Danio rerio: one gene and its partner. The protein of the gene in region 1 binds, or shares a complex with, the protein of each later gene. Links are inferred from orthologs where the notes say so. Each region holds a gene or a part of one and is shown on either strand. Other genes may lie near its edges.

Evidence for each region.
Region 2: the proteins of map3k3 (region 1) and ccm2 are in contact, whole or in part, in a crystal structure (PDB 4Y5O), measured with the Homo sapiens proteins. The link is inferred for Danio rerio from reciprocal best matches to the Homo sapiens genes MAP3K3 and CCM2. Residues at the interface, in NP_002392.2 of Homo sapiens: Asp2, Glu3, Gln4, Ala6, Leu7, Ser9, Ile10, Met11, Asn12, Asp13, Leu14, Val15, Ala16, Leu17, Glu50, Asp82, His84, Met86, Asn88, Glu89, Leu90, Ser91, Ile92, Leu93, Arg117, Leu119, Leu121, Ser122, Gln123, Asp124; in NP_113631.1 of Homo sapiens: Leu299, Tyr302, Met303, Leu306, Arg307, Ser312, Gln313, Ile315, Gln316, Gln317, Phe318, Ala319, Ala320, Leu321, Leu322, His323, Glu324, Arg326, Glu333, Ile336, Asn337, Gln340, Leu341, Leu353, Phe356, Pro358.

The regions. Positions count from the first base shown.
Region 1 is NC_133178.1:30,612,536-30,616,035, reverse strand, and holds part of map3k3 (mitogen-activated protein kinase kinase kinase 3), read left to right. Parts: intron 1-1,094; coding exon 1,095-1,243; intron 1,244-2,221; coding exon 2,222-2,353; intron 2,354-2,648; coding exon 2,649-2,778; intron 2,779-3,500. UniProt on the Homo sapiens protein: Component of a protein kinase signal transduction cascade. Mediates activation of the NF-kappa-B, AP1 and DDIT3 transcriptional regulators.
Region 2 is NC_133195.1:21,253,549-21,257,609, forward strand, and holds the start of ccm2 (cerebral cavernous malformations protein 2 homolog), read right to left. Parts: upstream 2,801-4,061; 5' UTR 2,503-2,800; coding exon 2,473-2,502; intron 1-2,472. UniProt on the Homo sapiens protein: Component of the CCM signaling pathway which is a crucial regulator of heart and vessel formation and integrity. May act through the stabilization of endothelial cell junctions. May function as a scaffold protein for MAP2K3-MAP3K3 signaling.

The sequences.
Region 1 (3,500 bases):
TGATCTTATTGAGGGGTGACCCAGTGGCACAGCAGGTATTGCTGTCGCCTCACAGCAAGAAGGTCGCTGGTTCGAGCCTCTGCTGGATCAGTTAGCGTTTCTGTGTGGAGTTTGCACGTTCTCCCTGCGTTCGTGTGGGTTTCCTCCGGTTTCCCCCATAGTCCAAAGACATGCGGTGCAGGTGAATTGGGTAGGCTAAATTGTCCGTAGTATATGAGTGTGAATGAGTGTGGATGGATGTTTCCCAGAGATGGGTTGCAGTTGAAAGGGCATCCGCTGTGTAAAACAAAAAGTTGGCAGTTCATTCCGCTGTGGCGACCCCAGATTAATAAAGGGACTAAGCCAACAAGAAAATAAATGACTGAATGATCTTATTGACCTTATGCTTTCACATAAGAGCAGCTACAGCCATTAGTACATTTATTGGTTCAAGATTTTATTTTTATTTTATGTTGCAAACTTTTAATTCATTTGTTGTATGTTTTCACCTGCCTCCTTTTGCTAACATGAACAGTATTTTAATTTAACATTTTTTTACAATTTATTGTAAGATTGCATTTGCACACATATTGCAAAATGGTCAATGGAAAATTATAAACTTGAGCGACAAGGCAGTACTGACAATACTGTGCATCTCTCACACATCTTTATTGCCAAACCCTGATTACTGTAATCAATGTATTTTGGGACACCACATATAATCGCTAATATATGAAACTTTACATTTTTTATTTTGTTCATGCAACATATATCACGTGTCAAACTCGTTTTGCACAGTTTGGCTTTAACACCTGATCAAACTAATGGAGTCCTTCAGGCTTGTTTTAAACCCCTAGGTAAGTGTATTGAAGGAAGGTTGGAAATAGTTTGTGCTGGGCTGCTGAGTTTGGCACCCCTAAGATATGTATTATCATATTCCTAGTTGGAAATTCTAAAACTATTGCAGAATAGAGCTTACTTTTGCATTGCAAAATAAGGTCAATAGAAACGGTTTAAAAAGTTTTGAGAATGTGCCCATGTATGCTTTTGAGTGAAACTGTCAATTACTTTGTCGTTCAGCCAATCATTGTGTATTTATATGTGCATATGTGTAGCCCCTACAGCTCCAGTGACGTGGCGCAGAGGGAAGTTGCTGGGTCAGGGTGCTTTTGGAAGGGTTTATCTGTGCTATGATGTGGATACGGGCAGAGAACTTGCAGCAAAACAGGTTCATTTTGACCCTGCCAGTCCAGAGACCAGCAAGGTACATGTTTTTTTTTTTTTTGTCGTATTTATTTAATCATGCTTTTATTTATACTTTTATTATTTATTTATTTATGCATTTATTTATTTGTTTATTTATTTATTCATGCATTTATTTTTTACATTTTTTTATTTATTTATACATTTTTTATCAGTGCATTCATTTTTTATTAATTGTTTATTTATTTATGCATTTATATCTTTACTTTTATGCATTTATATATTTATTTATTTATGCATTTATATTTTTACTTGTTTATTTATTTATTCTTGCATTTTTTTATTTGTTTATTTATGCATCATTTTTTACTTATTAATTTATGCATTTATAATTTTTTTTACTTATTTTTAATTATTCATTTATTTATTTATTTATGCATTTATTTGTAGATTTATTTATTTGTTTTTCTTTTTATTTATTATGAATGAGATTCATAATACTAAAAGAATTAAAGTTTTCATTTTATTTCTTTTATTGTTCTTTTTCTTTTCTTTCTCTTTTTTTTCTTTTAATTTTCTTTCCTTTGTTGTTTTTCTCTGAGATTACCAGCATGTTTTTTTCTCCCCCCTGATTTATCTTTCTTTCTTGAACTTCTCCCCCTCTCTTCAAATCCTTTCCTGTCTGCCATTGCAAAAACATGCACTCTCGCTTCCTGTATCTGTGTGTGATTGTGTATTTGGTTCAGAGGGGGTTTGAGGCGAGGGGAAGCGGGGTAGTCTAACAAAGCATTTCTCATTGATCATGCCCCCAATTGACACACAAACACACACACAGACATGCACAAAAGCAAAAAGCACCTCCTGGATGTTCAATCTCTCTTATCTACATGTTAACAGTTTGGCATTAGTGTGTTGTGGTTTGTGTGTTTTTAGTTGATCTTCCACCTTCATGCACAGTCATCTCCCTCATAGCCCCCTCTGGTCATAGCTGCTCTGCTCAGCTGTGGTCGTGTCATGACTCTTGCCCCTCTTTCTGCAGGAGGTGAGTGCTTTAGAGTGTGAGATACAGCTGTTGAAAAACCTGCATCATGAACGAATCGTCCAGTACTACGGCTGCCTTAGAGACCACAATGAGAAGACGCTTACCATTTTCATGGAGTATATGCCCGGGGTGAGTTTGATAAAAGAACCACATTTATTAAGCGTTTGGAAATCAATTAGGACGAGTCGTTGTTGGAAAAAAAAAATCTATGGAAACTACTACTATAGTGTTCCTGAGGAAAAATTAACCATATACATCTTTGAATGTGGGTGAGTATGCAATGACATAGTTTCCTTTTTTGGTGCACTGTAGCTGTAATGCCAGATCTCTTTATTGTATGGGTTGAAATGTGTCACGGAACACCTGTTTAATAACAATACGGCTGTTGTGATATAGAGTTCAGTGTGATCTTTCCACCCCTCAGGGTTCAGTCAAAGACCAGCTGAAGGCTTATGGGGCTTTGACGGAGAATGTGACACGCAAATATACCAGACAGATTCTGGAAGGCATGTCCTACCTGCACAGCAACATGATCGTCCACAGGGACATCAAAGGTTTGTAGTCTGTGTGTTGTGTGTGTGTGTGTGCGTGAGTGTTTTAGTAGTACAACAATACAGACTTCTCATGGTTTCTGGGTCACGATTTTGGCACGATTTTCGGTTTATATGTCCAGTAAGACAAAACAATATAGCAAAGATAATACTAAAATAAGCAATGCTTTCAGGCTTTTCATGTATCTAGCAATAGTTTTCAGTTATATAAACGAATAAATATCATATCACAGATTCATGGAATTGATTCTTACCTCCAGCATAATCAAGCTTTTAAGCTTACTGAAATGTTTTTGACAATAGCTCAACAATGTATTGCTTTAAAATAGAAAACAGACATTGATGTACTAATTGGACTGTGGATCTCAAAAGTGCACCTCAACTGTATACCATTGGAGAAGATCACATATTCTTTGAGAGGAAAGGGGAATTATTAAAAAATAATTGGAATCCATTTTGAATTATATTAAAGCTGTACCACATGATTTAATATGACAAAATAGTTTTCTCCATTGGTTTAAACTGTATATCCTCCGTTTGTTTATTTATTTATTTATTTGTTTTATGTACTGTGTGTATGGTTTACTTTAGTTTGTTTGTTGCTTAATTTCAATGTTCTGTATTGTTAAGTTTTGAAAAAGCTAAATAAAAATCTATATTTCTAAGAAAAATCTAATAAAAAATAACACTGCATACTATATCTTCAGTGTAAAAATTAAATAAAG
Region 2 (4,061 bases), on another chromosome or scaffold:
GGAGATTCACTTAAATCAGAAATGTCTGCTCTCTGAGTAGAACTAATGATTATAATGGGATATATAAGTAAGTGTTTATATATATAGAAAAATAGGTTCACATTTATAGTTTACCAGCTTGAATTTTTTACTTTTGAAAATTACAATGTGATGCTTATATTTATTTTATTAGGAAGAAATACTTACAGTTATTATATTAACTGTGTAATACCAGTTTATATACATCATACACATATTTAAAAAAATTGAGGTAAAGTTGGTTCACACATTCTGACTTTCTTTTTTATAAAATAAGTTCAGAAAAGTATTCTTTGCAAATACTAAATAAGGGAATCCTATTAGCAGTCAATGACTATCAAAGTACATTGTTCAGTCAATTAAACAGTGCTAATGTTGTTTTGTAGTTATACTTGCATGCAATTTCAGAACGAATATTCAAAGTAGCATGATAAACAATATAGGGAGCATGTCTCAAGTTGTTACTGAACATACATGCAAACACACAACTAACTTTACCTCATTATTATAAAATATTATTTTAGAAATATAAGCATGCCTGAATAATTTAAATGAAACACTAGAAAGTCTTTTAATTCTAGGTTCACAATCCTGAGCTGAAAATATATGAAGACCTTTTATCGTAAAGAGATAAAAGACAAAAAAGAGTGTTAAAAAAAACTAAAAATGGTTTTGATAGCAGTTTTTGGTCAGTTATCATTTCTGAATGGACTGTGGGAAAGTTGTTCTTATATTCTGACTTTCTTAATATTATATTTTCAGAAAAGTGTTCTTGGCCAATTCTAAATAGGGAAATCATATTAGCAGCCAATGACTATCAAAGTACATTGTTCAGTCAATTAAACTAATGTTGTTTTAAAGTCATTATTACATGCGATTTTTAGAACCAATTTCAAAGTAGCATGGTCAACAATATAAGGAGCATATTGCAAGTTTTAACTGAACCAATGTGTGAACAAAAAAACAACTTTACCTCGATATTATTTTTAAATGTAAGGAGGCTAAATGCATGCCTGGATAATTTTACTTGAAAACCAGAATGTCTTTTAATTCTAAATTCCCAATCCTGAGCTGAAAACAAATTAAGATATATACATTGTTTATGATAAAGAGATAAAAGACAAAGAGTGTGAAAAAACTAGCTTTGTTAGCAGTTTTTGGCTAGTTATCATTTCTGAACGGATTAAGGTAAATTTGTTTTCATATTCTGACTTTCTACTTAATATTACACTTTATCAGAAAAGTATTATTTGCCAATTATAAATAGGGAAATCATATTAGCAGCCAAAGACTATCAAAGAACAACATTGTTAACAATCAATTTAACAGTGCTAACGCTGTTTTGTAGTCACTTGCATGCGATTTCAGAATGAATATTCAAAGTAGCATGATAAACAATATAGGGAGCATGTCTCAAGTTGTCACTGAACATACATGCGAATATAAAACCAACTTTACCTCATTATTATTTAGGTTATTTAATATTACTTTAGAAATAACCATGCCTGAATAATTTAAATGAAACACTAGAAAGTCTTTGAATTCTAGGTTCACAATCCTGAGCTGAAAATATATTAGGACCTAGACATTTTTATCATTAAGAACTAAAAGACAGAGTTGAAAAAACTAAAGTGTTTTGTAAGCAGTTTTTGGTTAGTTCCATTTCTGAACAGATTGAGGTTAAGTGTTTTTTTATTCTGACTTTTTACTTAACATTATATTTTCAGAAAAGGATTTTTTTTTCCAACTCTAGATAATTACATCATGTTAGCAGCCAAATACTATCAAAGTAACGTTACAGAATTGTTCACAGTCAATTAAACAGTGCTAATGCGGTTTTGAAGTCATCCTAGTATGCTATTTCTGCCAGAATATTCAAAGTAGCATGGTAAACAATATAGGAACGGTGGCACAAGTTGTCACTGAGCAAATGTGTAAATAAAAAACAACTTTCCCTCAATGCTAAACGGACTGTTTTGAGGCTTTTAGTATTTAACGTTAACGTTACATAGCAAACCACGAAATCAACCTCCAGAGACCAGTATAGATTTTTCTACGTGGCCATACGGGGGCTCTGTACATCTCTGACTGAATATGAATACTTTACCAAAAGCCACCAAGAATCAGAAGGAAATGTCAAGCGCCAGATCTTTTACAATCACGGTAAAGTCACATGCTGAGAATCTCAGTGTTTATCTTTGGCCAGCGTAAGTAACTTGTATTCATGACTAAAGAGCGGCACCACTTATTTCCTTAATAATCCAGTTTAGTCACAGGATAACGAGTGGAAATTATTCTAAACATAACTTAAGGTATGAATACACACACAGATGTTTTAAAAGAGAGTTAACATTGTGTTAATTCGTGGTTAAGTTAGGCCAACACGTTTAAGCTACTAAGCAGTTTTTGTGTCGTACACGAGTAAACTCTGGTCACATTACAGCGTTAACTAACCTTTTTGACTTTCTTTACATCCTCCTCCATCTCTACGTACAAATGCTCTTCATTTTCGCTGTATTAGATGTGGTGATGTCCACGAATTCACTGCCATCTGCCTCCTACACGTCAACGGCGGCGCTTCGGCGATCTAACAAAACAAACCGACGATTCAGAATCACGTGCTCGTGGACCGTCAAGAAACGAGCGACGTTATTTGTCGAGGTAAAACTTGGAGTTTATGAAAAAAAGGACAGAGACCGAACAGATATAATAAAATAAAACAAAAACAGCAACAAACTTTTCAATCCTGCCGCCATTTTGGGCGTAGGACGTCTACCCATAGTGCCTTGCGAGACAAACAGAAAACCTCATCAGCACATACTATAAATACTTACGGTAAGTTATTATTAATAAACACAGAAGATGGGAAGTTTATATTACTCGTTGTAGCTTTGGGCTTTGCATTGTCTTTTCACTATGATTTAAAAGCAACTTTTTAAAGGGTTACCTTTAAAAATGGAGCAAACTTCTAAATTGTCCACAATATGACTAACAAGAAAATATAGCCTATAAGCTATTTAAAATGCCAAAATCAACTTAAGTTTTATGTTTGTAACAAGTAAAGTGACCATTCTAGTTTTAATCTTTTAGCAAAATGGTTTTAAAATTAAAAAAAAATTAAAATGTTTATAATTTATAGTGTATAACATAACTCAGAAAAGGTAACGTTATATGGCAAATATGTTTAGTAATTGTTATCATGTCTATATTACATGGTCATGTATTTTGTTAAAAAAACAATTATTATGCTGTTGTTATTATCAATATTGGTGAATTACTGGTTTGTAAACATTCAGGATGCGCACGCATCAAGGTTGCAGAAAAAAACAGGAGGGCTAGCATTTACAGCGAGGGAATGACATGCGGTGCGGGACAGAGTTTGTTGTTGTATTAGAGATTAGTTATATTGATATAAATGTATATATTATTTACACAATGCTTTTAGCGTAGTGCAACAGCTTGTCACCTAGTGATTAGCACAGTCATTCGGCAAAATTAACGTCATGGTCATGTGCAAGAAATAATGTTCCATGATTACCAGATTAAAAACTTTGTAGTGCTGGAAACCGAGGTTCTGCCTGGCCAAAGACAACAAAAGAAGACAGAACTGTACAAGGCCTGGGTAATCATCAACAAGCGAAACACCTGCATTCTGACAGCGAATCTGCACCTGTATGGCAGGGTATGTGAACTTTTTACATTTCATTCTAAGCATTCAGTGTCCGCAGTTTAATAAACAAATTTAACTGTTTTTGCTGAAATCATTGCTGCAATCAAAAACGAATAATGTGTATGAATCAGGATAGCGTAAACTTACCTGGTATAATTTGAGAACTGCAGAGTCGAGCAGATTTGATTAGGTCCTCACACCATTCAGCTCTTCTGATGGCTGTTAGCCAAAGACGTCTGCAGTTGGCATTAAAAGCAGTGTGGTGAACGGTAAAATTTAAGTTTTCTAATTTTGGACTTTCGATTTTGGCATCCTACAGCACAACAGGACATGCTTGCAACCGGTATTTATTGCAACCGGTATGCGCAGTTGA